Oryctolagus cuniculus: one gene and its partners. The protein of the gene in region 2 binds, or shares a complex with, the protein of the main gene of each other region. Links are inferred from orthologs where the notes say so. Each region holds a gene or a part of one and is shown on either strand. Other genes may lie near its edges. The genes, in order: PRKAB1, PRKAA1 and PRKAB2.

Region 1 (10,236 bases), on a different chromosome or scaffold from region 2:
CTTCTGGCTTCAGATCAGTGCAGCTCTGGCCATTGCGGCCATTTGGGGAGTGAACCAATGGAAGGAAGACCTTTCTCTCTGTCTCTCCCTCTCCCTGTCTGTAACTCTACCTCTCAAATAAATAAATAAAAATCTTAAAAAAAAAAAAAAAAGATTATGGGAGGCTATTTGCCTGCTATTTGTCTACACTTCTGAGATTTGCAAGTCTGCATTTTTACAACCAGTTGAATTCTACAACAACCCATGTCCCATTTGTATGGTATTATAAAATTTGCAATATCAGTGATCCCATGATTTAGATAATGTTATTCCCATATATAAACCCTTCCATGAATCCCCATTCACTTTAAACAAAATGCAGAATGTTCACTAATGGCCAGCAAGGCCCAGTGGGCCAGCAAGCCTTAGGGTTGGTGTGGATTTGAAAGCAGAGCTGAGCTGGGCTCCTGTCAATGGCTGTGGTGAACAGTCCTGATTTGTTTTGGGGAAAATATATGGCATCTTATCATTTGCCCTGATTCCAGATTAAGACCAGCAAGCAGATGACACCTGGACATTTGTCCTCCCCAGCCATCCCCACCCCAGCTTCCAAGACAGAGTGGTTGGACTCCCACCAGCAGAGAATTAGGGAAAGAAGAGGCATTTCCGGTGCTTGGAAGAAGCATGAACCGTTGTTAAATAAATAACAGAAAGTGACCCACGCGAGACCTAGCTGGGGCCTAAGGAAGGAAATACTTGTGATTAGAGTCCACCCCACCGTGATTTTCAGTATGGGACCAATAGCGGATACCAGTTTGTCCACGAGATTTTAATACAATATGGCAAGACTCTCCCATAAGCAGCTGCACAGACCTCCTGTCTTCAACTTTATACCTTTGAGATCTCCCTCGGTGTGTGTCAGGTCGGTTTTAAGGGGGCTGGCACTGTGGCATAGTGGGCCGGGCCTCCCCCTGAGGCTCCAGAATCCCATAGGTGCTGGTTGTGTCTCAGCTGCCCTTCTTGTGATCCAGCTCCCTGCTATGGCCTGGGGGGAGGGGGGCATAGAGGATGGGCCAAGTGCTTGGTCCCTGCACCCACATGGGAGACCCGGAAGGAGCTCCTGGCTCCTGGCTACAGATCAGCCTGGCTCTGGTCCTTGTGGCCAGTTGGGGAGCAAATCAGCAAACGGAAGATCTCTCTTTGTCTCTCCCTCTCTCTCTGTCTGTAACTCTGCCTCTTTAATAAATAAAATCTTTTAAAAAAATCACAATGTAGTTTTATAAACCAGACTGTTCCACAACATACACTTCAAAATCTGGAAAAATTTATCTACCTGCTTTTATGTAACAACAAATAGAAAAAAAAAATGCTCACTGGAGCTGGTGTTGTGGCATAGCAGGTAAAAGCCAACACCTATGATGCCAGTATCCCATATGGGTGCCGGTTCGAGACCCAGCTGCTCCACTTCTGATCCAGCTCCTGGCTAATGCTCCTGGGAAAGCAGCAGAAGATGGCCCAAGTGCTTGGGCCCTTGCACCCATGTGGGAAACCTGGAAGAAGCTCCTGACTCCTGGCTCCTGGTTCCTGGCTTCAGCCTGGCCCAGCCCTGGCTGTTGCAGCCATTTGAGGAGTGAACCAGTGGGTGAAAGACCTCTGTGTGTGTGTGTGTGTGTGTGTGTGTCCCTCTCTCTGTGTCTGTGCCTTTCAAATATATAAATAAATAATTTTTTAAAGTGCTCTATAAAGAAACATTGAGCACAGAGAAGACCCCACTATTCCTTCTGGAAGTCTCAGGGTGGTTTCCAGGGTTCGACTGCGTGGACTGCGCTGTCTGGCAGGCTCTCTGCTCCAGCGACTCTGTTGCTCCTGTTCAGATGCTCCTGTTGCACAGAGGCCATGGCCACTGCAGGTGCACCCAGTGCATTCGTACCAGTTAGAAGAAAGGTGCTCACGCCTCCAGGTACACGGTCTGACGAATGGAGCCCGGGGGAACTCGCAGGGCCCATTTGCCCCCTACAGCCTCAGGCACTGGGCGGTCCCCTTGGCTGGGAACCACTGACAACACCCTCAGGATGTCATTTGCGGTGTTGGGCATCAGGGGCTCATGCATTCGCTATTATCTTACCCAAGCCAGAGCAGACATCTTGAAACTCCCTCACGCATCAGGGCATCTGCATAGCCCAGATAAGACGTGCTGTTTGAGAAAAACCCAAAACTCCACTTGTGCATGGCTTCCTCACTGCCTACGGTAGCAAGGCAGGACCAGGAACAGACAGCTCACAGCACACATTCTGTGTGTCACCCCCACTACCTTGGCTGATTCAATTCAGCGAGCACATCCAACATTCTTACAGGAAGTACACTCAGTCTCACAGCCATCCGCTTCAGGAGCCCTTGGGGGCTCCCCGTCCCTGGCCTGGCTTGCGTCCCACTGGGGCTCCCGTAGAATCCCTCGCCCTCCTCCACTAACTGACTTTCTACCAGTCTGTTCCCACCTATACTCTAGTGGCTTCTCTGGGGCTGAAACTATGTCTTACTTTTGTTTTTTTTAAGATTGCTTCTAAATTGAAAAAGTCAGACATCCTCACAGCAGAAAAAAAAAAAAAATCAAACAACACATAGGGGTATAAACTAAAGAATGAGAGGTGCCCTCCCATCTGGTCCTGTTTCCAAAGGAACCGCTATTAACAATGCATTGTAAACCATCCCAGGAGTTTCCATGTGCAAGCATAATGCTAACAATTACTGCATGTTTACGAACACTCAGATGCCGTGCTAAGCATATTTGTGCATATTGCCCACTGACTCACAACAGGAGCCTGTAAGATGAGGGTTATTTTTATTCCTCATACTGCAAAAGAGGCCTAGGTGACAGTAAGTATAAAGCCACATGTTTAACCCAAGAGGTTGGCATCAGAGCCCATGTCCCTAACTCCTGTTCTGTCTCAGACCCTCTCCCCAGGTAACCCCTTTCCATCCCTTTCCTTTTTAAAACATGGTGCAGTATTCTACAAAATGACTGTTTAATCCACTTAGCCATTTCCCCACTAACAAACGTTCCAGATTGGTCAGGCTGTCATTTCGTTATTTCTTCGTATCTAAGATGGCACCAATTCTAAGAAATATCCAATTTCAAGAGATTAGAATGTAAAAAAATTAATAATGTTTAATGTAAAAAAAAAATAATGTGCCTCTTACACTTACTATGCTCTCAGAGCTGGTGTGGCCAATGAACCGGCTCAGCTATAGTTCCTTGTGTGATATTTCTGTAGATGGGTTCCCAGCGGTAAAATCGGAAAAACGAAGGTGCTTTTTTCTTTATTATTATTATTTTGAGAGAAGCTGCCCACTCTAGAAGACTTCGTCTTGATCATCTGTGTTTCCCATTTCCTTGCCACAACATCGGGACTTTGTAGGTACTAAACAGATGTTCAGTGAACAAAACGCACAACCAGGTCCGGTGAGGTATTGTGTGAAATATACAAAAAACAAAAATAAGGCAATGAGATTAGAATATTGAAGGGTCATACGTGCATACTCTTTGCTGACCCACGTTCTGTAGTAAATGACAAATGCTAATCATGCCTTTGCAAAATTACTCATCAAAAACCTACGCACTGGGGCCGTCATTGTGGAGTAGAGGATAAAGACGCTGCCTGCAATACTGGCATCCCATGCGGGCACCGGTTCTCGTCTGGGCTGCTCCACTTCCCACCCAGCTCCCTACTAATGGCCTGGGAAAAGCAGCAGAGGATGGCCCAAGTCCTTGGGCCCCTCCACCCACGTGGGTGACTGGGATGACGCCCCTGGCTCCTGGCTTTGGCCTGGCCCAGCCCTGGCCATTGTGGCCACCTGAGGAGTGACCAACGGATGGCAGATCTCTTTCTCTGCCCCCCCCCATCTGACTTTCAAATAAATAAATAAATCTGTAAAAGCCTACGCACTGAATTTAATAAAAGTTCTCTTTTGTAGCCCTCGAGCTACTAGAAGGAAGAAACTTCTAGCAAAATGAGTCTAATGCATCCTAAAGCGTTAACAGCCACGGCACCAAGGGGCTTTAAGCAAAGGGCGGTTTCTTAATCAGACTTTTGCACCTTTAGCCGTACAGGGTGGCACCAGAGAAGGCGGCCTAGTACATCCATTGGCATCGCTCTCTCCAGCGCAGGTAGAGTGGCCCAGGCCGCCGGTGCACTGGTGCGCCCCCTGCCGGCCCTCCACGGCCTCACGCTGGGTCGGGCCCCCCGTGCGGCCGACTGCGACTGCGCGGCTCTGAAGCCCACGGAAGCCAGCCATCGCCGGAAGCGGAAGTGACGACGAGTTAGCCCCGGGCTGCGCCCGCCACAGCCTCCCCCGTTGTGGGGCGGAGTCGCCGGAAGCGGAAGTGGCTGAGGGGTTGGGGGAGTTGTCAGGATAGTGCCGGCTAATCTTCCCGCTTGTAAGGTCCGGGCGCAGGGGAGGCGCGACTGCGAAACCTCGCGCAGCCTGGCGATCCCGCTCCAGGCACCTCCCGACCCTTCCCCGGACTCGTGGGGAGTGCCACCCGGCTCGGCTTCCCCGTGGCCCCGCAGACCCCCGCCATGGGCAACACGAGCAGTGAGCGCGCCGCGCTGGAGCGGCACGGCGGCCACAAGACGCCCCGCAGGGACAGCTCGGGGGGCGCCAAGGACGGGGACAGGCCCAAGATCCTGATGGACGGCCCCGAGGACGCCGACCTCTTCCACTCGGAGGAGATCAAGGTGCGCGGCTCGGGGGGCGCGGGCAGGGGGGCGCGGCCCCGAGGGAGGGGGCCGCTCCCTTGGCGCTGCACCGCAGGCCGCTCGGGGGACAGTTTCCAGCTCCTAATTAATTCAGGGCGTCGCGCCGGCGGGAAGTGAGCCCCGGCCGGCCGCGTTTCTCCCAGGTGTAATTAGTCTCACGGCTTCGGGAAGTCCTGCGTGCCCCGCAGGCAGCCCGGCCCGTCGTAGGAGTGGGTCTGGGGGCTGTGCGGTCCGCTTTGGGGAGGTGGGGGGGGGGCGTGGATCAGGGCACACGTGGAAGCAGAAGGAAGAACGGCCGGGCGCAGGCCCCGGCGGCGTCCGGCGGTGGAACGCGGGCTCTGGGAGGTGGCGGTGGGTGGGCGCCCTTGTGTTGTGTCTGGGATTCAGTATTGGAAGCGGGCCAAAGCACACCTCTTGGCAGGCCGCATCGGATCCCCTGGGACGGTCTGCTTTGTGACGAGCCCAGCGGGTCCTCCTCTCCCACCAAAGCCATGATCCTGTCCATCGCCTGAGAACTCATTCCTTAAAGGGACGGAGTAGAGAGGATGAAGGGGACCCTGTTAGTATGCACCTGCACACGATTGACTCACTTTTTCCCTCCATTGTTGGGCTGGGTGCTGACACCGTCTCACACCCTCAGATCTTAGTTGGGGGTCTGACTAGGAAGATCTGCTGTTACCTGGCCCTCCATCCTGTGCTTGGACCTTGTTTCCTGAACTTGTTGCATTTCCAGAAAGCTGCCTGCAACCTGAACTTTGGAACCGTGTTGACTTAACGTCCCTTCCCCCAGAAGTACACGGGACCCCAGCAAGGCTATTGAAGACACCATAGCTTTGTGCCAGAAGTGCTGGTGTTGCGGTCCACCTGTGTAGCAGATCTGGGGAGCATACATTGTAACTGCCTGGAATCATGCAGCAGATTTAACCACACCTGTTCACCGTGGGGGCTGTGGGCGTCACATCCTCCCTGCACTGTGGTTCTGGTCTGGCATTCTTTAACCCACAGGTCTTGTTAGAATTCCGTAGACACATGCATCTTGCAGATAAGCTCAGGCGCCAAAGGCCTGCTGGACGCCCCAAAAGCCTGTCCCCTCCTCCAGCTACTGCCCTTTGAAAAGGTCTTGGCGTCTGGCCAGGAAACTTTGTTTAAACATCCTTTATTTATTTCTCCCAGAGCTGGATGTGTTTATGTCTCTCTTAGGCCAGAACACTTCAGTTACACAACACTTACACTGGACGTTACACTTCATCGTAATGTCTTATTTAGTATCTCTTCTCACCAGCACCAGGACAATGTTCCTGCCAGTGAATAGTCTTTCCCTTCCTCAAAGTCTGGATCTGCCGATTTTCAAACTGACCGGTTCTGGAATGATCCCTCACTTATGTTCACATAGTTCCAGTCTTGTTTAACGAAGGGAGGAAAATGACGTTTATTAAGCAGTTTTCCAAGCATATCTGATACTTTCCCCTGGAGTTCTAATGCAGAGCTCCTTTTTAAAAAAGAAAAGTTCTTTATCTGAAAGGCTGAGAGAGAGCTTCCGTCCTCTGGTTTATTCCCAAATGGCTGCAACGGCCTGATTTGGGCCAGGCCCAAGCCAGGAGCCAGAAGCTCCATCCAGGTCTGCCAGATGGGTGGCAGGGGCCCGAGTACTTGGGCCACCCTCTGCCGCCTTGCCCGGCGCATTAGCAGGGAGCTGGACTAGAGGCAGAGCAGTGGGCCTGTGGAGTGGAGCCAGTGCTCAGGTACGGGACGCCACATGGATCCACCGTGTCACGGGCAGCGGCTAACACGGTGCCCCACTGCGCCAGCCCCACAGGTGGCCTCTCTGCTAGTGAGGGACACAGTGCTGGGTAGGAGGCGCTTCCACACGTCCTGTCGGTCACTCGGCAGGACATTTCCACGTGGACTGTCCGCCTCAGTCTTCCCAACAACCTTAGGAATGTTTTCATCTCCGTGGTGCTGGTGGGGAAACTGAGGCACAGCCAGCCGACTACAGGGTCATGGCAGCGCCTCTTCAGGCTGCACTGGCCGGGAGCTCATTGACCTCCTATCCCGCGACACCCGCTCTGCTTCCAGGCCCCCGAGAAGGAGGAGTTCCTGGCCTGGCAGCACGATCTGGAGGTGAACGACAAAGCCCCCGCCCAGGCCCGGCCGACGGTGTTCCGGTGGACGGGAGGCGGGAAGGAAGTGTACCTCTCTGGGTCCTTCAACAACTGGAGCAAGCTGCCCCTCACCAGAAGGTAACGCCGGGCGCTGCCTGCGTGTGCCGGGAGCCGAGACATGGCTGCAGGCGACCAGGAAAGGGCACGAGGAGGAGAAACCCTCCTCACGGCCTCACAGGGGTGACTCCCACAGCGCCTGTGCTGGAGGACCCGCCCGCTGGCGTCCCAGACATCACCTGGCGGGGTGGGCGGAGCGCTGGGCTGGGAGCGAGGGCCGCAGGCACAGCCTGCTGGCTGGGCTGGGAGTTTGCAGCAGGGGATCCCTGTGGTCCCTTCCGACTTTGGGTCCCAGGATCGCATCTCGTTTGGAAGGTAGGGGCCGCGCGGGCCTCGTCAGCAGGTGTGACGCGTTCCCAGGAACCTGGCCCGGACTCCTGTCTCAGGTTGTCCTGAGAACGCGTCAGCGTTGCTGAGCGCTGGGGATGAGGTGCCCGGCTGGGTCCTCCTGGTTGTCGCCCGGGGCCGCGTGCGTCTGTCAGCAGCCCGAGTCAGGAGCAACGCTGGGTGACGCTAGTGCCCTGGGACCTTTTTTAATTTTTTTAGTAGTTTTGCAAGTTTCTTTAGAGAATGTTTATGTCCTATTAAATCGATCCCCTCTCCCGCCCGAGGCAAATAGCACAAAGCAAAACGAGACAGCTTCCTGTTTACCTTGTGTCGCCGTCCTGGGCGTCCAGGGCCGCCACGCTGGAGAACGCGAGTGCCTGTTTGTTGACCTTTTGGGTCAGGAGCGTGGGTTCCTAGTATTTGAGCAGAGCGAGTTTCCCGGGAGGCCCGTGCTGCCGCTGCCTCCCAGCCTCTGCGGCGCCCTGCAGCTCGGCTCTGGGCTTCCCGCGCAGCCTTCTGGTGTCGTTCCGCGGCTGGTTTGACAAGGGAGCCTTGGAGTGGCCCAGGCAGGTGAAAAGCTCTGGTTCCTTTTTCCTTGCAGCCACAATAACTTTGTAGCCATCCTGGATCTGCCAGAAGGAGAGCATCAGTACAAGTTCTTTGTGGATGGGCAGTGGACACACGACCCTTCGGAGGTACCCTTCCTCTCCAGCGCGCCCCCTTCCCCAGGGCTCGCGGGCGGGTTCCTTTGCCCCATACAAAACGTGCCCGTGTGGTCTGGGCTAGGCAGCAGAGCCGCTGTCAGACTGCGGGCCCGTGTGACCGGGACGAGCAGGGTGGCCAGCCAGGAACCCCAAGTCCTCGGCAGAGTGACTCACAGCCCTCCCCTCATGATTCTGCCTCTGTCTCTCCCCAGCCAGTAGTGACCAGCCAGCTTGGCACGGTTAACAACGTCATTCAGGTGAAGAAGACGGACTTCGAAGTATTTGATGCTTTAATGGTGGACTCCCAAAAGTGCTCCGATGTGTCTGGTACGAACACAGCCGCTCTATCCCACACGCGCGCGTGGGGCTCTGCGGGCTCCAGATGTGCTTCCTGGCTCCGGCTCTTGTGTGTAGCTCCCTGCGGAACCCCAGACTCACCCCTGACTCTGGCAAGTCAGGTTGTTGAAATTTGCCCCCTCGGGAGCTGTAAGTCATGGCACAGGTCTTCTCAGACATGCGGGGGGTCTGTCTCGCCCCAGACAGCAGGTAATGGAACAGGACCAGAGCTTGCACTCATGCCAGGGGCAGCGCCGAGGAGGCCCTGGAGAGAGACGTGGGGTCGGTGAGGAGCCAGCGCTGGTAGGCCTGCCGGCTCACTTCCCGCCTGCGCTGCCTGGAGGACTGCAGCCTGACAGGTGATAAGCGGACACCTCAGTGATCGTGGCCATCACCTGTGTGCTCCATTAGCACCTGCCAGGCCCCCTGACAAGGGCCGAGGCGGCTCACAGGAAGCAGGCTACACAGCACTCCTTCCAGGAGCCTGCTCGACACACTCCTGGCAGAACTTGCCCACCTCCCAGGAGTCTGAAGCCTTGAGGGGTAGATGAATTGCTTTCTACCCAGCCCCCCGGAAGGAACTACCCAGGCTCTGTCAAGTTCAATTCAGGGTCAGCGCTCCCTGTCCTTTCGGGGGGGGGGGGGGGACGCTGTGGACGGTGCCCGGATCCCACAGGAGGCCGTGAAAAGGCTCCCCAGGGTGCGTCTGGCAGTCACAGGTGACAGGTTCAGGTAGTTGATAGGACGCCTCTCGTTGCTCAGCTGGGCCCGGAGGTTCTGCCACCAGGATCTCTCAGCGTCACCAGCGGCTGACAGGTCAGGCTGCCAAGTGGGACCTCGGGATTCAAAAGTAGGTTGTTTTATCCGGATCACTAACTAATCTTCTAGAGAGCTGAGTTGCTTTTGTTTTTCACATAGATAGGAATCCGGGGAGGGAGAGAATCCAAACACCCTCCCACCTGCTGGTGACTCTAAACATCAGGCTGCTGTGCCCATCACAGCTGGGTGGGAACACGGCCCCTCGCTGCTGCCGAGCCAATGGAGGCTCTCATTGGGCACCTTCCTGATGCTCCGTCTGTACTCCTCCCGGCTCTTCTCAGGGTCCTGCTGTGATGGGACCGGGTCAGGTGCGGGGGGGGTGGGGCCTGTCCCCTTGGAAATGAGGGTGGGGACTCGGCCCCTCGCGGCTGGCCAGACCTCACTGAGCGAGCTCCTTCTAATGTGAACACCACACTTCTGGAAGCTTCTTAACATATCTGTACAATCAGGAGACTCAGGCAAGGGCTTTGGCAGGAACTTGAGTGATAGAATCAAAGAGCCTTTAGAAATCGGGTTTTCAGTTTTGGGTTTTATTTTTTGTTTGAAATGTGCCATGCCTTACATAACCCGTTTTTCTCCACTGCCTCTGGGTAAGCAGGCAGCTTTATCTTCTGTTCCATCGTGACTGGCGATGCGCATAGCTTGTGCTGAGCCACTTAATCCTCTCTCGAAGCCTTAGCTCTGTATCCTTTGCCAGCCCAGCCTGAAGCGAGGTGGCAGCGTTACTGGGCTGGGTGACTGGGAACGGCCGCCTCATTAGTCTGACCGAGACTCGCCGGCTTCGCCGCCCCGTCTTCCCCAGGCCATCTGAGTTCACTGCCGCCCGTCTTCCCCGGGCCACCTGAGTTCACTGCTGAGCTTTTTGCCAGTCACCCACCTTCCAGAGGGCTTCCTCATCCCCTCTGTTTATCCTCGGAGCCTGTACGTAGAACTGTCGAGGGAATCAAAGTCTGAATAGAGGAAAACTAGGTGACAACGCCATAGATTAAATGAGGCTGCCCCCAGAGCTCGCGATTTTCAAAACAGATGCGCTGTCACCGTCTCCCAACAGAGCTGTCCAGTTCCCCGCCGGGACCCTACCATCAGGAGCCCTAT
Region 2 (10,290 bases):
GCATGCTGCCTGCCTCAGCTTCTTCACTAAGTGATTACAAGTCTCTTGTTTTACAACTGCTTCGGTGTTGCTCTTCTTCAATCTTTCCTCCAAACAAAAGTCCATTTTTATTTTTATTTATTTATTTTTAAAAGATTTATTTATTTGATTGATTGATTCATTAATTTATTTTTGGACAGGCAGAGTTAGAGAGACAGAGACAGAGACAAAGGTCTTCAATATCTGTTTGTTCACCTCCCAAGTGGCCGCTACGGCTGGTGTGCTGCGCTGATCCGAAGCCAGGAGCCAGGTGCTTCCTCCTGGTCTACCATGTGGGTGCAGGGCCCAAGCACTTGGGCAATCCTCCACTGCCTTCCTGGGCCACAGCAAAGAGCTGGACTGGAAGAGGAGCAACCGGGACAGAATCCGGTGCCACAACCGGAACTAGAACCCGGGGTGCCAGCTCCGCAGGCAGAGGATTAGCCAAGTGAGCCGTGGTGCCGGCCTAAAAAGATTTATTTATTTGAAAGTCAGAGTTAAAGAGAGTGAGAGGGAGAGACAGAGAGAGAAACCTGCTCTCCTCTGGTTCACTCCCCCAATGGCCACAACTGCCTGGACTGGACCAGGCCAAAACCAGAAGCCTGGAGCTTCTTCTAGGTCTCCCACTGGGTGCAGGGAGAACTTAGGCCATCCTCCTCTGCTTTCCCAGGCACATTATCAGGGAGCTAGATTGGAAATGGGGCAGCTTTATCTACTACATCGCAACACCAGCCCCAGATTCCAGCTTTTTGTTGATGTGAGGCAGTGTGTGATGGCTCAAGTGGCTGACTCCCTGTGACCCACATGGAAGACCCACATTGAGTTGCCAGCTCACCTCTATGCCTGGCCCACCCTGGGCTGCTGTGGGTATGGGGTAGGGATGGAGCAGCAGATGGAAAATCTGTGTTTTTGTGTCTCTGCCTTAAAAAAAATTACACAGGGATGTACAGGGAAATGTCTGTCCCTTGCACTTGACTCTTAGTCACAAGGTTTCCTTTCCAAAGCCACCCATTGATACCAATTTCTTGGGAAAAGAATGTATTTCTAAAAAGCATTTACTTCATATCTTTTCATGGCTTATCAGTCTCTACAAGATAAAAGACCAAACTGAAAAGCACCTATGGGGCCTTTCAGCATTTTGTTCCTGTTTGTCTCCCATTTTTTAACAAGCCCCTCTGGGCCAACACTCTGGTGCAACAGTTTAAGCTACTGTCTGCAGTGCTGGCATCTTGTATGGGCACCAGTCTGGGTCTTGATATATACCTCTCTGTCTCTCCTTTTTAAAAATTTTTAAAAAATTTTAAAAGATTTATTTATTTGAAAGGCAGAGTGACAGAGAGGCAGAGGCAGAGAGAGAGTGAGAGGTCTTCTATCCACTGGTTCACTCCCTAGTTGGCTGCAATGGCAGGAGCTGTGTCCATCTGAAGCCAGGAGCTTCTTCCCACGTGGGTGCTGAAGCCCAAGGACTTGGGCCATCTTCCATTGCTTTCCCAGGCCATAGCAGAGAGCTGGATCAGAAGTGGAGCAGCTAGGACTTGAATTGGCACCCATATGGGATGCACTGCAGACAGCGGCTACCCACTACTCCACAGCTCACTAGGCTAATCCTCCGCCTTGCGGTGCTGGCACACTGGGTTCTAGTCCCGGTCGGGGCGCCGGATTCTGTCCCGGTTGCTCCTCTTCCAGGTCAGCTCTCTGCTGTGGCCAGGGAGTGCAGTGGAGGATGGCCCAAGTGCTTGGGCCCTGCACCCCATGGGAGACCAGGATAAGTACCTGACTCCTGCCATCGGATCAGTGCGGTGCGCTGGCCGCAGCGCGTCAGCTGTGGCGGCCATTGGAGCGTGAACCAACGGCAAGAAAGAAGACCTTTCTCTCTGTCTCTCCTCACTATCCCACTATCCACTCTGCCTGTCCAAAAACAAACAAGCAAACAAACAAACAAAAACAGGTCCCTATACATCTAGAATCCATCCTCTGTAACCATTAGCTCTTCCCCAACCCAAGTAAGATTTACTTCTCCTGTGGTTTTTTCATATTCTCTTCTTCTACCTGGGATACCTTTCCCCATTTCTGCCTATTTCCCACACCACCCTTTTGCTTAAGTAGAAAATCTCTCTTAATATTCCTTTATTAACACACTCAAATCAAAGCCTTCACAGACCTCTACAGAGAAAGGTTACACCCTCCTCTCATGATGCTTTTTAGGACCATATATATATTTTTATTATAGCACCTGTTATATTGCTTTGTTTGCCACTGGAAGGCAGACACTGTGTTCCTTTGTTTAAGTCCCCAGTGTTTAGCAAGCTGTCTGATATATAGCTATTGTTTAATAAAGATAGATGTTAGTTATAAAGTAACTACAACTAGGCTAAGGAAATGTTAGGTTATATTAAGAACAGTATAATATACAGAATTTTTAGCCCTGGACATCATATGTAGAGACTGACATTGACAAAGTTTAATATCCACTTGATAGTCTAGAGTCTAATAACATTGTGATGACCCTGAGAAGAAAAGACCAACAGGAGAACATGCACTACAGAGCTAGAAAGGAGAGAGCTGACAATTAACTACCTTGTCCTCCACGAGACCAGAGGTTCCTAATCTTAGCGCTGAGTCACCCGGGTATGTCTTCATCAGGGCCGAGAGGTCCCATCACTTATCTGTACTAAAAAAAACTCACCCCCTAAAGGTGGTAAACAATTTACTTTTTTTTCCTTCTCTTAAACTAGAGTGGATTCAGGTTACTTCTATAATGTCACCCCTGCCCACCTATATTCCAATATACTATGGTGAGACAGAGATAGAATTACCACTGATAGGCTCAGAAACTGTGTGTAAGCCCCAGTTTACCTTATCTTTGCTCCCATCCTGGTTGGTTGAGAGGGTGGCTATTTAAAGAACGGTCACTAAAGACCCTGGCTTTTCACTTTTTTTAAAAAATGGAACTTGCCACAGTGTCTGATAGTAAACAAAACTGTGAAAGAAGAGAGAAGGTTTGGGGATGAATTCATGGGGGAAAATGAAAGGAAGAGACCAAAATTTAAAAAAGGAATGAAGGAAAAAAAAAAGCAAAGGAATACAGGAGACTTATTATTTTAGAAACTGTTAATTGGATTAAACATAAAAACAACAAAACCCCAAAATATCAGGCAGTTAATGCTGCTTAAACTGAGACTAAAGGAACTGGATAAGATGACCTCTAAAATTCCTACCCAATATTTGAATCTATGATTTGAGGCTTTTTATTTCCCCATCAATGCTTTTAAGTGGAAATGACATCTAATCACTATTTGTTAAATTGCATTATAATCTACAATAACATAAAGTAGAAACAAACTGATGTCCCTGCTTAAAAAAAATGTTTCCTTTTTGAATCTTCATGGTTTCACAAGGAGATTGGCAAACAGATTTGCCAGACTCAGGGTCAGTTTCCTCCTTTTCAAGAAGTTTAGTGGCTTAACTGACACAGAGCTGAGGTATCTTGTGATCTTTTTCTTTCATGTTAAATGAAATAGTAGAACTCTGCTGGGCTAAATTCTAGACATGATGCAAATTTAATGTAACTTAAGGTGTTATTACAGGGGCTGGCATTGTGGCAAAACAGGGTAAGTCACAACCTGTGATGCCAGCATCCCACATGAATGGTAATTTGAGTCCTGACTCTCCACTTCCAATCTATCTCCTGACTAATGTGCTTGGGAAACCAGGGGAAGGTGATCAAAGTGCTTGGACCCCTGCCACCCACATGAGACCCAGATGGAGTTCCAGGATCCTGGCTTTGGCCTGGGCAAGCTGTTGCCAGGGTTTGGGGAGTGAATCAGTAGATGGAAGATCTTCCTCTCTTTCCAGGTCTGCTAAGCTTAAAGGCAGGGATTTTCATTTCCCTTGCAATAGGATCTTTCGAACAAAACAGTCCTTAATACGTGCTACTTTGGTTTCTTAACAAAAAGAGGAGACAATCAGGACAGTTGGGTAACTTTCAGCTCATAACACTATTATTTAATTTCTCAATGAATTGATATACTGTCAGTAGGGCTAGTTTCTACCAAGAGAGTGACAATTACACTGCTTACAGACTCTCTACCCCAGCTTCAAAAGTGAAGAAAGTGCAGAGGGAAGCAGCAAGAGACAGTCCTGGCCCAAGGTCAACAGGCTAAACTTGGTGATGGCCTTCTTGCTGGCAGCATCTAGAGGCAGCCTGCACATATATTTTGGGAGCCAGAGAGAAAGCAAGTGGGAGATGGGAGAGTTTTAGAGGTAATTTATTTTTGTTGGAAAGGAAAATGATGACATTTCTTAGTTTTATACTTTCTTATACTCTTTTCATGAAGAGTCCAACTTTTTACCCATTGACACTGGTCCAAATGCTATGACACGGCAAAACCGAGAGCATATAAACTTTTTTTCTTTCTTTTTTGGATGACACATTTGACTTTGCCTACTGTTGGAGGCATGTGATAATTCTCCGTGGAATTCAGTAACAAACTTACTGAAAAATTATATTACAAATAAGCACACTTTACTTTCTCTGTGACATAGTATGGTTTCATCTACACAGACAATAAAGTTTTATTCCTTGCACATACAATAAATGGTCGATGTAACTGTAAACGTTATCGTCAGTCCCGTGATAGTGTGCATTTTACTGATAATCTAAACATAGTAATTCCTGTACAGCGAAAGGGCAGGGTAGCATCGCTTTCTGCCTGATAAGCATACAACCCCACAGGTGCCCAGCCTCCCTCTTCCTTAAGGAAAGCATCCAGGAGAAAACACCGACAAGCCTGCTTGAACTGCCCAATGGTAACTTATGGCTCACAGCGAAGTAAGAGCGATGCAGGGGAAAGTCCGAGAGGCAAATGAACACTCCCTGTGGCACCTGGACCCCGTCTGGGAAGGAAAGGTGATAATCAGGGAGGAGCCCCCTGCCATGGTTCAGTTCACGCTGCACAAGTAAAAGAGCCACGATCTGCACCACCCCAGAGGGCTTCCCAGGGCCCATCGCCCCTCCCCGGAATCTCAAGGAGAACGGCGCCCCCGCCCCGCACAGAAGCGGTTATCAGTGGCGCCCACTGCCCGAGAAAGGGCGGAGGGGCTACCGCCCTCCTGGACTACCCGGGAAGCTGGGCGGGTGCCGAGCCCGAAAGGATGCGGGGCGACCAAGGGGACTGGGGGGCCCCTGCCAGCGACCGCAGCCCGCCCCGCCCGGGGGAGCGGCGGCTCCAGGTGGCCAGGCCCGGGCGGCGCGCGCGGGGCGGCGGCTCGGCCCCGCAGCTGCTCGCCCGCGTCCCCACCCCCTCGCCGCCCGCCCGCCCCCGGCGCGGCCCTGCCCGCCCCCTCCGCCCCCTCCCGCGGCGCCGTGCGCAGACTCAGTGTCTGGAGGAAGATGGCGACAGCCGAGAAGCAGAAACACGACGGGCGGGTGAAGATCGGCCACTACATCCTGGGGGACACGCTGGGGGTCGGCACCTTCGGCAAAGTGAAGGGTGAGGACCCCAGGGGAAGGGTTTGGCCCCGGCCCGGGAGCCGCGGGACTCCCGCGTTTCGCACCTCTTCCTCCTCCCGGTCCTCCCTGTCCCTAGATTCCCGGGCTCGGCAGACCCTCTCCGGGCTCTGTTCGGAGCCGTGCCCGAAGCTACCGAGCGAAGTGGGCGCTGCTCCCTTTGCGGGTGGGAGTAGGGTGGGGACCAGTCGCCATGGCGACGGCGCTGCGGTCGGTGCGAGGGAGGAGATGCCGAGGTGCGAACTTTCCCAGGTGGCGGCGTCCGGAGCTGCCCCGCGCGCTAGGTCTGCAGCGTGGGGTCCCGGGGGTCTCGGCCAGGAGGCGGGGGAGGCGGCCTCCTGTCCGGCTGGTTGTGCTCTTGGCTCCACGCCAGCCCATCGCTTTCCTGGCGGTCCTCCGCCTTGTCCGTATTTCCGTCTTCAGCAGGCTAGGGAAAGCATAACGGCCCCTGCTGTTTCCTGAGCATGAGAGATGTTCTCCCAGTTGAGGTTGCTTTGAGTATAGCCTGAATAATTTTTTTTTTAAATCCATTTCGTCCGAAAAGATGACTGACCTTGTGTAAAGCAGTTAAGGGGAGCTGGTGCGACCCTTGGTTTACCTTACAAATGCAGACTCCCGACCTTCAGTGTTTCTGAATTACCGGTTTTGCAGTATCTGCATGCTGAACCTGGTAGGCTACTGTAGATGTTGCCTCTAGATAATATTTATTAATTAGTAGAGTTCGTTTCCTTTTATTTTGGGAAGATATTTATTTTTAATGTTTAGAAATTGATTTTTATTTACTTGGAAGACAGAGACAGACACATAGGTCTTCCATCTGGTGGTTCACGCTGCAAATACCCAAAATAGCTGAGGCTGGGGCCGGGCCAGGCAGAAGACAGGAGCTGGGAACTCAAGCAGGGTTTCCCTCTTGTGTGGCAAGGACCCAAATACCTGGGCCATCAGTTGCTGCCTCCCAGGGTGCACATGCACAGGAAACTGGAGTTGGAATTGGAACAAGAGACAAACCTAGAGACCTGGTGAGATGCAGGTGTTCTAAGTAGTGTCTTAACAAAACCCTGTCCACAATATATTTACATTTAATAAACAGATTAGTGCACACTGTTTAAACTTTTTTGTTAAGTGTGGAACTTAGTATCTCTCTCTTTTAAAGATTTATTTATTTATTTCAAAGAGTTACAGAGAGAGGTCTTTCATTCCCTGGTTAACTCCCCAATTGGCTGCAACGACCCGGGCTGTGCTGATCTGAAGCCAGGAGGCAGGAGCTTCTTCTGGGTCTCCCATGTGGGTGCAGAGGCCCAAGCACTTGGGCCATCTTGGACTGCTTTCCCAGGCCACAGCAGAGAGCTGCATTGGAAGTGGAGCAGCCGGGTCTCAAACCGGCACCCATGTGGGATGCTGGTGCTGCAGGCCAGAGTGTTAACCCCGCTGTGCCACAGTGCCAGCCCTGGAACTTCTTACCTTTATGAAAAGCATGAATATTCTGCAAGTAATAAACTTGCTCTCTAATCCAATCCTGATATAAAAAGTTTAAATTGCAAATTTTGTGAGGCATACATTCTTTTTCCTTACAAATATGACTTTGTTATTAGGGATGTGGAGGAAGTTTGGAACTGATAAGAATAATTATTGCATTGGCATTGGATAAATAAGAAGCCTTTGACTAGTATATACTAAGTTTTTGGTAAATATTTGATCTGGAAGAAAAGGTTTATGAAAGAGTATACAGTAAATTAACTGAGCCTTGTTCTGCCAGAGCTAAGTTAACATCCTCCCGGCCCCCCCTCCCCAATTTATTTATTTTCATTTTTTGAAAGTGAAAGATCTTGATCATCCATCCAATGATTCACTCCCTGAATGGCTACGACAGCCATGTCTGGGCCAAGCTGAAGCCAGGTGCCATAACTTAGTCTTTGTCTTCCATGTGAATAGCAGGGACCTGATATTTAGATCCATTACATGCTGCTTCCCAGGGTGTGCATTAGCCTGAGCTGGAATTGGAAAGGCAGCTGGGACTCAAACCAAGGCACTTGACATGGATGTGGGGCATCCCAAATAACGTCTTAGCTGATGAGCCAAGTGCGTGCCTCTGTTGCCGATTCTGAGCCATAGGTGTGGAATATTGTTGTATAACCCATGGGGATGGGCATTAACCAACAAGGTCAGTAGTATAATAAAGTAAGGAGCAAACTCCAATATGGAGTAGTAACAGCCATTAAGGTGGGTCTACATTAGGACAGTAACATGTTTCTGTTTTCTTGAAGTTTGTTTTTTTTTTTTTTCTGTGCTGTTTCTTGTTAGTGATTATAAACAGGTTTTTAGTTTGCCAGTAGTTGTAAGAAATGCTCAGTAATGTCTCTGAAATAGTGAAAGAGACTTTGTTGATGTCCTCACCCCTTTCTCAAAATTCTTTTTTGATTGGGATGTTCATCATTCTGCTAAAAAAGACCTGAACAGAGTCAAGTCTGTTTTCCTATTTGTTAATTGGCTTTTGGCACAGTAGATGGAGAAGGAATAGACATCTTCTGTTTTCTGGAGTTGATCTTTTGTGATGTGGCTGTGATGTGAATCTCTTCAGTGACTCTGCTGTTCCTTAAACTTCTCCCTGCAAATGTGCCTCTCATGAAGTGCCATAGTCTGTCCAATATAACAACCTCCCCAAATATAGAAGGACCAAAATGATAGCAAAAAGATCACAGATTTCATGGATATGGCTAAATATTTTTATAAGCATGTTAGTTGAGGGGCTGGCACTGTGACGTAGCTGGTTAAGCCACTGCCTGCAGTGTCAGCATCTCACATGGGTGCCAGTTTGAGCTGCTCTACTTCCAATCCAGTTCCCTGCTAATGCATCTGGGAAAACAAGAGGAAGATGGCCCAAGTGTTTGGGTCCCTTGCACCCATGTAGGAGACCCGGAAGTCTGGCCCAGCTCTAGCCTATGAGGCCATTTGGGGAGTGAACCAGTGGATAAAAGATCTCTCTTTCTCTGCCTCTCCCTCTCAGTTACTCTGCTTTTCAAATAAATAAATAAATCTTTTGAAAAAAGTTAGTTTATATATGTCATGATCTTTACCTAGTTAGTTTTTTTTAAGATATTAAACACTTGGGATACTTTTTGTCACAAGGAATAGAAAAATCCAACTCAGAGTAAGCACAACTATCTCTGGTTCTCTCAGAGCAAGGAAGGCTTGTGTACCTCTCTTGCTGGTTGGTCAGTGATACTATGTGCCATTTGACTTAGGCTTGTGTTCTTAAGCAGGCACTAGAAAGGGAGATAACATTACCTTTGGAAGATGATGGCCAACCCTTGGATGTGTATGTGTGTCATCTTCCAAAATACTTTTTTAGTGTAGGGGGGCAGGCAGGATAGGCACCTACACAGCAATAAGTATTGTTAGAGTTAAGATCAGAGAAAATTGGGATATAGATGCTTTATGAGTAGGCAAAACAGCCTGATTTTGACAAAAATTCTTTGCTATAACAGGATTAGCAATATAGTTAAGTCAAGACAATTTGGAATAGGTAGTTTTGAAATTAGTTATATTCATTGGTAAACTCAACATAGAAAAGGAATCTCATGGAATACGTAATATTGATAGGCAGAAAAACTCCCAGTATGATATTCCATGCTGATAGGAAATTTAATTTGGGAGAGAAGGTTGCTATAAATTCATAGTGATTTATTTTGTTTTCTGTTGCAAGCTAAAATATTTATTTGGTTGTTTGATGATAGCATTTTGGGAGGAAAGTTTAAACAAAAAACTATTAATTTGAGATTATACTTGAATTATGTTTTAAAAAAGATTTATTTAGGGGCCGGAATGGTGGTGCAGCATGTTAAACTGCTGCCTGCAATGCCAGCATCCTATATGGGCTACAATTCTAGTCCCAGTTGCTCTACTTCTGTTCCAGCTCCTGGCTAATGTGCCTGCGAAAGTAGTGGAGGATTGCCTCGAGGGCCACTTGTCATGCAGCTCGACAAGGCTAATGTGAAGTGTCAGAGGAATTCCACAGAACCATGATAGTCTTTTTAATATAATTTTTTGTTCGGTATCACTCAACATATATATTCAGTGCACACATTTAAGGGTCAGTACCACTCAATATATATATCATTAGTCCACAGATCATAACACATCTAGGAGTAAGACGATCTCTAAAAATATCCAGCAATAGTAATAAGTATGAAGCATAAAAAGCATAATCAATCTAAACACTCATGGCTAAGGGTGTATATGAATGCTGCATTCAGAGTCCAGAGTCCAAAGTCTTCGTTACCACTTGGAGAGCTGGATCTCAGAAGTCACTTACGGGCAGTGGTCGTGGAATGACTGGCACTCTGGGCAGTAGGCTCAGAGTTCCAAGTCGGATGGTGAGGTGAAGGGTTGGAGAGGTCACCGATGAGAAGTCCAGTCCGGTTCCAATGTCAGCTTCAGCAGCGGCTGGAACGTCCAGGCGAGGTTGGATCCAGTGGAGTAGTGAGCAGAGTTTCAGCCAGCAAAGACACAGGCAAAGTTTCAGCAGGATGTGGTGGATCTACTTGATCATCACTCGCATTGAGCCATGGTCCCTGAAGGGAAGCAGAGCAGTGGTGAGGCTAGCCTCTTTAGCCTCCTTCTAGAGTAGGTGGGCCGTGAGTGTGCTCTGGGGTGTCACCAATCACCGGCTCATCCTTTTTAGGTGTCACCAACCAGATGTTGGTGTTAGGGTGTGACCAATGGTGTGTTAAGTGTCTTCTGGGTGTGGCCAATCATGGTGCAGT
Region 3 (10,261 bases), on a different chromosome or scaffold from region 2:
AGGAATGCCCGGAGATAGAGAAATAGAGAAATAAAAAGGCCTCCCTACAACACTGCAATGTGAGAGCTTGGATTCGGTCTGGCTAATCAAGTGAGGCGATGAGCACCTGCGGGCAGCTAGCAGCTTATGCGCCGCAGGTCACCGAAGACAGGCACGAATTAACATCAGTAAGGCTTCCCCACAATGTAACAATTAGGAGGCTTGGATTCGGTCTGCCTGATTTAAGGCGGTAAGCGCCAGCAAGCAGCTCGACCAGAGTATGAGCTGCAGGTCACCGAAGATAGGCACGAACCAACACTAATAAGTCTCCCCCACAATAAGGCAATGAGAAGGCTTGGATTCGGTTTGCCTGATAGAGCTTGTAAGCCCCTGCGGGCAGAGCAGAGCATGCGCTGCAGGGCACCGAACACAGGCATGCATCAGCGCCTAAAAACCTCCTCACAACATGGCGAAGAGAGGACCCGGATTCGGTTTGCCTGATTGATAGGACTTGTAAGAACCTGTGGCAACTCTAGCAAGCAGAGCAGAGTGTGTGCCGCGGGACACCGAAGACAGGCGCGTATCAACGCCAAAAATAAAAAGAAAGGGGGATCTGTGGGGAGCAAACCGGACTAGACTGAGTTACTGGAATTAAGACTTATTCTATGCATCTGCTCTCCCACTGTGGGGAGCAAACCGGACTAGACTGAGTTACTGGAATTAAGACTTATTCTATGCATCTGCTCTCCCACTGTGGGGAGCAAACCGGACTAGACTGAGTTACTGGAATTAAGACTTATTCTATGCATCTGCTCTCCCACAATATGGCGCTGGGAGAGAAGTAAACAGCTTCCGCACAGCTGCCTCTCACCAACTTGACAAGCTGCAGGACTTGCTACTGATTGGAGGAGAGCAGCGTACTCGGCGTGTGGGCAGCCGAGTTGGGATTGGCGGAGGACTATAAAGGAGGAGAGAGACGGCATGCACCAGGAACATCTAAGGGGAACATCTAAGGGGAACGCCTGTGCAGCCCCCCAGAGAGCCGGCCGGCGGAGTGCCACTCCCCTGCGGAAGTGGGGAATGTGGCCAGGGGGAACTGCCCTTCCACGGAGGTGGAAGGGACAGTAGCCAACCCGGGAAGAACCAGCAGCAAACCCGGGGAGGGCCGAGCAGATGAAAGAACAGCGCAGGGTCCTGTGTCGTTCCTCCACGAAGAGGGGGAGCGACATAATGGTGCCGTGACTCGGATAGGAAGCCTAGGCAGGACTTAGTGTCGTTCCTCCACGAAGAGGGGGAGCGACAAAAACCAAGAATGGGTCCATACAAACAACAAATAATTAAATTAGCCATATGTCCTTCATAGGCAACAGCTCTCAATTAGCACTTAAAATAAAAGAAAGATACCAATAAAAGTCATAATTCATACTCTAGCTAATAAGTTACAAGGGAAAGGACAAAGTTCTTAAAGTTTGAGAAGTGGTTATGAAATCTTGCTCAACCCTGCCAGGTATACACTAATTATTTCAGAAGTAAGGGTGAAAATTCTAGAGCCTTATGGAACAAAAGATCAAAAACACAGCTTCCTTCAACAAAAGTAATTCCATCATCAAATGAGGTTTGTAGAAATCTGAAAAAAGCTAACTCCTTAGTTTCTTATTACTTCTTTCCTTTAGATTAAGAGGTGGCAAACTAGAGCCAGATGTTTTTATAAAGTCACTTTGGGAAACTGCCATGCTCATATGCCCGTTATCTACAGCTGTTTTCCACTACAGTGGCAGACTTGAATAGCTGTGACAGAGATTTTATGGTCACCCCAATTTTTCTTAAGATCTATTTATTTTATTTGAAAGGCAAAATTACAGAGAGGGAGAGGGAGAGGGAGAGAGAGAGATACCATCTGCTGGTTCACTCCCCACATGGCTGAAAAGGCCAGGGGTGAGCCAGGCTGAAGCCAGGAGCTTCATCCTGGTCTCCCATGTGGGTGCAGGGGCCAAGGACTTGGGCCATCTTCTGCTTCTTTCCCATGCATATTAGCAGGGAGGTAGATTGGAAGTGGAGCAGCTGGGTCTTGAACCAGTACCCAATACAGGATGCCAACACTGCAGGCTGTAGCTTTACCTGCTATGCCACAGTACCGGTCCCTGTCCCCAAAATTTAAAACACTTACTATCTGGCCATTTACTGAGAAAGTCTGATGACCCTCCTTACTTTTGGTTTTGGTAAATAGGCAAATAAGACTGTACAGTATTAAGTCAAAATAGTACCCATAAAATAGTATAGGTTAGGGGACAGTGTTGTGGTGTAGCAGGTAAAGTGTGATGCTGGCATCCCATAGGGGTGCCAGTTCCAGTCCCATCTGCTCTACTTCTTTTTTTTTTTTTTTTTTTTTTTTTTTGACAGAGTTAGACAGTGAGAGAGAGAGAGAGAGAGACAGAGAGAAAGGTCTTCCTTCCATTGGTTCACCCCCCAAATGGTTGTTGCCACGCTGGCGCACTGCGCTGATCCGAAGCCAGGAGCCAGGCACTTCCTCCTGGTCTCCCATGTGGGTGCAGGGCCCAAGCACTTGGGCCATCCTCCACTGTCAGAGAAGAGTCCAGAGAGCTGGACTGGAAGAGGAGCAACTGGGACAGAACCGGCGCCCTAACCGGGACTAGAACCTGGAGTGCCAGCGCCACAGCTCAGTAGGCTAATCCTCCACCTGCGGTGCCGGCCCCATCTGCTCTACTTCTTTTTTTTATGTTTTGACAGGCAGAGTGGACAGTGAGAGAGAGAGACAGAGAGAAAGGTCTTCCTTTGCCGTTGGTTCACCCTCCAATGGCCGCCGCAGCCGGCGTGCTGCGGCCAGCGCACCACGCTGATCCAATGGCAGGAGCCAGGTGCTTCTCCTGGTCTCCCATGCGGGTGCAGGGCCCAAGTACTTGGGCCATCCTCCACTGCACTCCCGGGCCACAGCAGAGAGCTGGCCTGGAAGAGGGGCAACCGGGACAGAATCCGGTGCCCCGACCGGGACTAGAACCCGGTGTGCTGGCGCCGCAAGGCGGAGGATTAGCCTAGTGAGCCAAGGCACCAGCCTATCTGCTCTACTTCTAATCAAGCTCCCTACTAATGTGTCTGGGAAAGCAGCAGAGGATGGCCCAAGTCCTTGGGCCCCTGTACCCACATGGGAGACCAGGATGAAGTTCCTGGCTTCTGGCTTCTGGCTTTGGCCTGGCCCAGCCCTGGCCATAGTGGCCATTTGGGGAGTGAACCAGCAGACGGATGATCCCTCTCGCTCTCTCTTTTCTAACTCTACCTTTAAAATAAATAATGTCTTTTAAAAAAGTAGTATGGGTTTAAAATAAACAAGACTAGCTCATTGGGGCCAGCACTGTGGGGTACCAGGTAAAGCCACCGCCTGCAGTGCCAGCATTCCCATATGGGTGCCAGTTTGAGTCCTGGCTGCTCCACTTCTGATCCACTCTCTGCTATGGCCTGGGAAAGCAGTGGGAGATGTCCCAGGTCCTTGGGGCCCTGCACCCATGTAGGAGACCCGGAAGAAGCTCCCGGCTCCTGGCTTTGGATCAGCACAGCTTCAGCCATTGTGGCCATCTGGGGAGTGAATAAGCAGATGGAAGACCTCTCCCACTCTCTCTGCCTCTCTGTAACTCTGCCCTTCAAATAAATAAATAAATCTTAAAAAAAAAAAAAAAAAAAAAAAAAAAGACTAGCTTATTCATTTGGGCATTTGTTTCAAAATGGTTGAGGTAATCTACCTTCCATATACTGCCTTTTTCAGAACTTATTTATTTATTTATTTACTATTATTTTATTTGAAAGGCAGACAGAAAGATCTCCAATCTGCTGGTTCACTCCCTAAATGCTCACAACAGCCAGGGATGACTCAGACTGATGGGGTGGGCCAGAAACTCAATCCCAGTCCACATAGGTAGAGAAAATCCGCACAGCTGGCAGGGACCCAAGTACTTGAGCCATCACCTGCTGCTACCCACAGTGCATATTAGCAGGGAACAGAGGGACTTCAACACAGACACTCCAATATGATATGGGCACCCTAAGTGGCATTCTAAAATGCTGCCCCAAACTGCTGACCCCACAGCGCCTTTTGATATTCCTCAAAACTAAGTATGAGACCCCAGTAATAGCATAATTCAGGCTTAAGAGAAAACCCCGGTCCTCATGTTCTCAAAGCAATGCCTTCCTGCCTGACTGGCTGCATCAGACTCACAGGATTTTTTTTTAACAGACCTAACAATAACTCTCAGGCTCTGAGGCAGATACAGGAGCTGGTAATCTACTTCTAAAAATCTTCCCTGATAATAACAGTGTGACTTTCTACTAAAAGCGAAAAAATCACCTTTAGCACATTATAAAATGTTATGATACAATACTCGATACAATGTCTACAATGTGCTTCAAAATACTTTGGTGAGGATACAGTGGATTGGGACTTAGATGACACATGTTCATTCATGACTTGGTCATTGTTTAAAATGGCTGACAGGTACACAGAGTTCATTATACTGTTCTTGCTACTTGGTAAAGGTTTCAGAGTCACCATAACTGAAACAAATCTCAGGTTATTCTTATGTGCAACCAGGATTAAGAACCACCCAACCAGTCTGGTGATGGAGGCAGGCACCTGGAGCCCTCTGGGCCTCCCACCACTGTTTCCGTCAGTTACTTTTATGACAGATCTTCAGTGCAGAATCTGAAAGCTATGGACTATTAATATGCCTAGCTTCGGAGGAAAGCCCTCCCACTTATGACACAACATTTCTGTGGTAGGAACGGATGCAGCCGACTGGCAGCAAGAATATTTGCTCCAAGTTAAATAGTCGGCAAAACCAACAGGAAAAGGGGCAAAACAACAGCTAGAGCCATAGTTTGGAAATAGGTGAGAAACATGTTGAGGAAAGGAGAGAGTAGATGGAGTACTACAAAATTTTTGAGTTGGATGAAACCTTAGGAATTACATAAGCCAATTTTTAAATATCACAAATGGCAAGACTGCAATGTGGGGGAAAAAATGATCCAAAATAGGCCCCAATTCAGACACAACAACCTAGCTTTTATTGAGGCCATCAAATGCTGCAGTCACAGTTTCACAACCACACTGTTCTTAAATCCTGAGTCATTAACATCAAAAAAGGGTAAAAACACAGGAGGCAGATCACGTTGGGAAAATTCTGAACAAGTAAATTCAGGTGGCTGCGGAGACAGCCCAAATGATGGGGAAGAAATTCTCAAGTTGAAAGGGAAAAAAAGCACCAGAAAAGAAATCCCAAAACAACTCCTTTCAATCACTCTCTTTTCTGTCTGTGATTCTGTTCTCAATGGGGATTCCAGAAGATAAAGAAACCACAGCATGCAAATTTCCTGTACTAGCAATGTGGCAAATAAGGATCTCTTTCTGCCCAGAGGCCCTAGTTGGACGAAAGTGATGAAGTGATAAAAACATCAGACCCTGCCATCTTTGTCTCTCCATTGTTCTATTTCACCCTACTCAGCCCAACTGGAGAAATTAAATGCATTTCATGCCGACAGTTCTAAGAGTGATTAGACACTGCTCTGGAATCATATGGCTGTCAGCGCCATCTGTCCATTCTGTAGTGTGAACGCAAGTTGGTCTTCCCAGAAGTCCTAGGAACTGAGAGCAGGCGCTTCAGAGGGGCAGCTGGGGGTGGGTGTTTTCAGCCACGGGCAACACTCTCAAGTTCTCCTGGAGAGGAGAGGGGACTGGGAATCATTTGCCCTCCCAGCAAGCAGCTGGGTGTCGGCCACCACACCAGTGCTGGACCAAGCAAAAGCAGTCAACCAAATGACGTCCTACTGATCCCAAGCCTAGGACAAAGTAGTCAAGAAGGCAAGGAGTCGCGGCTCACGGCCGTACCAAAGGGGAAGAGAATTTCAAGTGCAGAGCTCCTAGAAAGGCAAAGATGACACTGATACACAGACATTTTCAGGAAAATGAAATTCACTGAGCCACCCTCAGGGCCAATGTGAAAAACTGCCACCTCCCCTGCGAAGTTTCCCCACCCAGTTTACAATCTGCAAATTCATCAACACTCCAAGAGGGTACCCGAAACGGCGGCTGTCTATTGTCCCCATCCTTTAAAACGTGGCGGAGAGACTAGTCAGAGAATTCCGCCGCCTCGCCCTATTTTGAAGCAGCACCGTAAGAGGAATTACCATCCAACACCTTCGACTCGGAAAATCCCTTTTAATTCAAAAACCCATCACCCAGTTCAGTGTCATGAGAAGGAACCCAGCAAGGGAGGAGCCCGAAACCAAGCCGGCTGCAGCACCGCCGACGTCTTGGGGCGTGAGGCCGCTTACCTTGGAATCAGGCAGGCTGAAGACGCTGGGGTCGTCCGTGCTCCCCACCATGATCTTGTGCTCCTTGCTCGGGCCATGGCCGCCGGCACCCTCGGCGCGCGCAGCCTTGGCGCCGTGGCGCTCCCCGGACACCCGGTCGCTGGTGGTGTTTCCCATGACCGCGGCTCCAGTCGGGGGCCACCTGCCGCGGGGGCACCACACCGGGCGGGGAACACCCCAGACGCCGCGTCCGTCACCGGCGCCCCCGGCCCCGCCCCTGCGCCCGCGGACCCGGGCGAGGGAATCCCCTCCCTCCCGGCCTGCGGGAACCCCCGCAACTCCCGGGCCTCGGCGCGGCCCCGGCTCAGGGAACCGCTATGGGGACCTCCCCCGCAGCCCGCGCCGCCTGCCCCAGGGCGCCCACGCCCGTCACCACCTCCGGCGATGCGCTCCTTCTTGTCCAGGCCACCGGCGCGATGGCCGTCCCGCGGGTGACGCCACCAATAAAGTTATTGAAATTGAAGCCGCGCCCCGAGCTAGCGCCCCTGGTTTCCTCCTAAAATGGCTACAAGGCCAGCGGCGCGGGGGGCCCGCCCCGTGCGCGTTCCCTGCGGCCCGCCCGCCTCTCTAGCCGCCGCCTCGATGGTGAGCCGCGCGCCGCAGCCAGCGCCGGGCCGCGCGGGGGCACAAGGGCGGGAGGGAGGCGGCGTCCGGAACCGCCGGGGCGTGGGCTCCGTGGGAACAGGCTGCCGGGAGGACCCGCGGCGGCCGCTCCCCGGGCGTCCTCACCCCGCCTCAGGCGCCCCACAGGCGTGGTGTGCGCGGCGTCATGGCCCTGGGCGACCCGGAGAGGTGGCTTCCTACAGGGAATGAGAACGGACCTCGGCCCCGAGCAGAAGGAAGGAGTGGTTGTCCCTGGACGCGAACACTGGGTACCGGGGGAGAGAAGTCAGCCCGACTGGGGTCCCCGGGAAGAGCTCAAGATGGAGTGATCGGCCGCTAGCCCGTGAGGATTAGTGAAATGTTAGCGGAATGAACCTGTGCGGTGGGCACCCCTGGAAGAAATAACACTCCGGAGACAGAGCAGCAGCAAAACCCATCAGAAGGAACGCGGAAGGTATAATAAGGGCACAGACAGCCCTCGGGTTGGGAGGGACCCCGTTTTTGTGATCATGAATGGAGGTTCGGGGCCTTTGCGGATCCTTGCTGTGTATTATTATCTCATCCGTGTCTCGTTCCCTACTGCAAAGCTCTGTCAGCCTGGGATACTCGTGTCCGCCAGCGGCCCCGGCATCACCAGGGAGCTTGTTCGACATGCGGACTCCCGGGCCCCATTCCCACATAGGGAATCAGGCTCCGCCCTTTAACAAGACCACCTGGGACTGTGAGGAGGGTGCTTTGACAGCTGGCCTACAGCGGAACCACGTGTGATTTCTGTCTGTATTCTGCATGCACCTCGTACAAAGCTTTTTACCAAGCATTGGCAGAGTGAAGGGGACATGCATACCGTTACACGTTTCTAACAAGATATGCGACTTAGGCTTGAAAATGGCCAGTGATTGGGGACCCAAAGGCACCCCACCCATCTTTATGAGTGAGGGGCTCTATCTGTAGAGAGAGGTTTGCTTTGCCCCCTTGTAAACTCATTCTCTGGCTCTTAACCACAGACAATTTACAGAGAAAAAAGTACCATTTTACTGCAGTCTCTTGCTCACCCCTCCAAAATCTTTTTATTTATTTATTTATTTATTTATTTATTTAAAAGTCACAGTTAAGAGAGGGAGAGACAGAGATCTTCCATCCACTGGTTCACTCCCAGGAGCTAGGAGCTTCATACAGTTCTCTCACATGAGTGCTAGGGACCCAAGCACTTGGGCCATCTTCTGCTGCTTTTCCCAGTCCATTAGCAGGGAGCTGGATTGGAAGTGGGGCAGCCCGGACTCCATCCAGTGCCCAAATGGAAGCAGCTGGGACACAAACTAACACCCATAAGGGATGCCAGCATCACAGGCCGCAGCTTTACCCACTATGCCACAACGCTGGCCCCTCAACCAGCTTTCTAACAGCCCACTCCTGAGAACTAACACAGGCTGCAAGAACTAGACCAATCTCATGAGACAGATACTAATCACTCCTTAAAGCTCTACATTGCAACTAAATTTGAACGTGAATTTTGGCAAGGACAAATCATATCCAAACCAAGTCGAAAAGCCATTGGAGGGGCCAGCGCCCTGGCTCAGTAGGCTAAACCTCAGCCTGTGGCGCCGGCATCCCATATGGGTGCTGGTTCTAGCCCTGGCTGCTCCTCTTCCAACCCAGCTCTCTGCTGTGGCCTGGGAAAGCAGTAGAGGATGCCCTGGGTCCTTGGGCCCCTGCACCCACATAGGAGACTGGGAGGAGGCTCCTGGCTCCTGGCTCCGGATCGGCACAGCTCCAGCTGTTGTGGACTTTTGGGGAGTGAGCCAACAAAAAGAAGACCTCTCTCTCTGTCTCCCCCTCTTACTGTCTGTAACTCTACCTCTCAAATAAAATAAATAAAAAAACTTAAAAAATAAAAAGAAAAGCCATTGGCAAAGAATGCTGGAGTTCTACTTTAATATTCATCCTCTCTTCCTCCTTAATAATAGTACTTTGATTTTTACCTAGACCCATTGCTTCTTGGGAAAAAAAAAGATGCATTTCTTAGCTTCTCTGGTAGGTAGATATATTGACTATGTTCTTCCAATGAGATCTAAGTGGAAATATTATATTGTACTTCTGTTAAGTTTCCTTAAAAGAAAAAGGCATGTTCTTCTTCTTATAGTTCTTTTTCCTTTTGTGTAGAATGTTCATGTAATGGCTGGAACTCTAGCACCCAGTCTGGACCACAAGGTGGAAGTCAAATGGTGAGGGTAGTGGAGCAGAAAGAAGAGCTGTGGAATTGTTTTATTGTCTCAGGACTATCTACCTTCAGACGTCTTTAGATGACGGGGAAGTAAACTTCAATACTGTGTAGGCCATTGTTATTTGGGGTTTTTCTATTGTATGTGGCTGCTGTGGTTTGAGTGTGTGGCCTCAGAATTCATGTGTTGGCCCCAACGTAGCAGTGTTGGGAGATGGAGTGTCTGGTGAGAGGTGTTCGGGTCACGGTTTCCACCCTCATACATGGACTGCTGCCAGCCCAGAGAAGGGAGTGCATTTTGCCTCCCGAAGGACCGGATTAGCCGTGAGAGTGGTTTCTTCTGAAGCAGTGCCCCCGACATCTTCCGGCTGGTCTGTGCAAGCCCACTTTCCCTTCCACCTTCCACCATAGTTGAAGCAGCACAAGGCCCTCCCCAGAAGCCAAGCAGATGCTACTACCATGCTCTTTGACTTTCCAGCCTCCAGAACCGTGACCTAAGATCAACTTCTTTCCTTTACAAATTACCCAGTCTCAGATTTTTTTTGTGACAGGCAGAGTTAGACAGTGAGAGAGAGAGAGAGAGAGAAAGGTCTTCCTTTCTGTTGGTTCACCCCCCCAAATGGCCGCTACAGCTGGCGTGCTGTGCTGATCTGAAGCCAGGAGTCAGGTGCTTCTCCTGATCTCCCACGCAGGTGCAGGGCCCAAGGACCTGGGCCATCTTCCACTGCCTTCCCGGGCCACAGCAGAGAGCTGGACTGGAAGAGGAGCAACTGGGACAGAATCCGGTGCCCCAACCAGGACTAGAACCCGGGGTGCCGGTGCCGCAGGTGGAGGATTAGCCAAGTCAGCCGTGGTGCCGGCCTAGTCTCAGATATTTTGTTATTGCAACAGAAAATGAGCTGAGACGGTAGCAGAACCTACTCGTAATCAATTGGATGGGTGAGAGTATGACCTACATAGGTATTAAAATCAAAGGCAGCAGTAGTTATGCATTTGGAGAGAGTTTTGTGCTCAAATCTTCACCAAAGGAGGGCAATAAACAGGTCTATAAACAGGCAGTGAGTGCTTCAAAGGAGCTGAGGAGTT

Evidence for each region.
Region 1: the proteins of PRKAA1 (region 2) and PRKAB1 are in contact, whole or in part, in a crystal structure (PDB 6C9H), measured with the Homo sapiens proteins. The link is inferred for Oryctolagus cuniculus from reciprocal best matches to the Homo sapiens genes PRKAA1 and PRKAB1. Residues at the interface, in NP_006242.5 of Homo sapiens: Gly20, Val22, Lys23, Ile24, Thr32, Lys40, Lys42, Asn59, Arg60, Ile63, Arg64, Val69, Ile72, Arg73, Ile76, Gln77, Val93, Ser95, Thr96, Pro97, Ser98, Asp99, Ile100, Phe101, Met145, Met175, Ser176, Asp177, Gly178, Glu179; in NP_006244.2 of Homo sapiens: Pro79, Val81, Arg83, Leu103, Pro104, Thr106, Val113, Ile115, Asp159, Phe160, Glu161, Val162, Phe163, Ala165, Leu166, Met167, Val168, Asp169, Ser170, Gln171, Arg201, Ala202, Pro203, Pro204, Ile205, Leu206, Pro207, Pro208, His209, Leu210.
Region 3: the proteins of PRKAA1 (region 2) and PRKAB2 are in contact, whole or in part, in a crystal structure (PDB 4RER), measured with the Homo sapiens proteins. The link is inferred for Oryctolagus cuniculus from reciprocal best matches to the Homo sapiens genes PRKAA1 and PRKAB2. Residues at the interface, in NP_006242.5 of Homo sapiens: Gly20, Val22, Lys40, Lys42, Asn59, Arg60, Gln61, Lys62, Val69, Arg73, Val93, Ile94, Ser95, Thr96, Pro97, Ser98, Asp99, Ile100, Met145, Met175, Ser176, Asp177, Gly178, Glu179, Phe180, Arg199, Leu200, Ala202, Pro204, Glu205; in NP_005390.1 of Homo sapiens: Val80, Arg82, Ser84, Ser108, His109, Asp111, Ile115, Ser138, Asp159, Phe160, Glu161, Val162, Ala165, Leu166, Ser182, Ser184, Gly190, Gln191, Glu192, Met193, Tyr194, Ala195, Phe196, Glu199, Arg201, Lys203, Ser204, Pro205, Pro206, Ile207.

Annotation. Positions count from the first base shown.
Region 1 is NC_091452.1:15,721,287-15,731,522, forward strand, and holds the start of PRKAB1 (5'-AMP-activated protein kinase subunit beta-1), read left to right. Parts: upstream 1-4,310; 5' UTR 4,311-4,556; coding exon 4,557-4,715; intron 4,716-6,812; coding exon 6,813-6,976; intron 6,977-7,883; coding exon 7,884-7,977; intron 7,978-8,198; coding exon 8,199-8,313; intron 8,314-10,192; coding exon 10,193-10,236. UniProt on the Homo sapiens protein: Non-catalytic subunit of AMP-activated protein kinase (AMPK), an energy sensor protein kinase that plays a key role in regulating cellular energy metabolism.
Region 2 is NC_091445.1:66,053,683-66,063,972, reverse strand, and holds the start of PRKAA1 (5'-AMP-activated protein kinase catalytic subunit alpha-1), read left to right. Parts: upstream 1-5,355; 5' UTR 5,356-5,410; coding exon 5,411-5,510; intron 5,511-10,290. UniProt on the Homo sapiens protein: Catalytic subunit of AMP-activated protein kinase (AMPK), an energy sensor protein kinase that plays a key role in regulating cellular energy metabolism.
Region 3 is NC_091438.1:50,109,764-50,120,024, reverse strand, and holds the start of PRKAB2 (5'-AMP-activated protein kinase subunit beta-2), read right to left. Parts: upstream 6,871-10,261; 5' UTR 6,472-6,870; coding exon 6,316-6,471; intron 1-6,315. UniProt on the Homo sapiens protein: Non-catalytic subunit of AMP-activated protein kinase (AMPK), an energy sensor protein kinase that plays a key role in regulating cellular energy metabolism.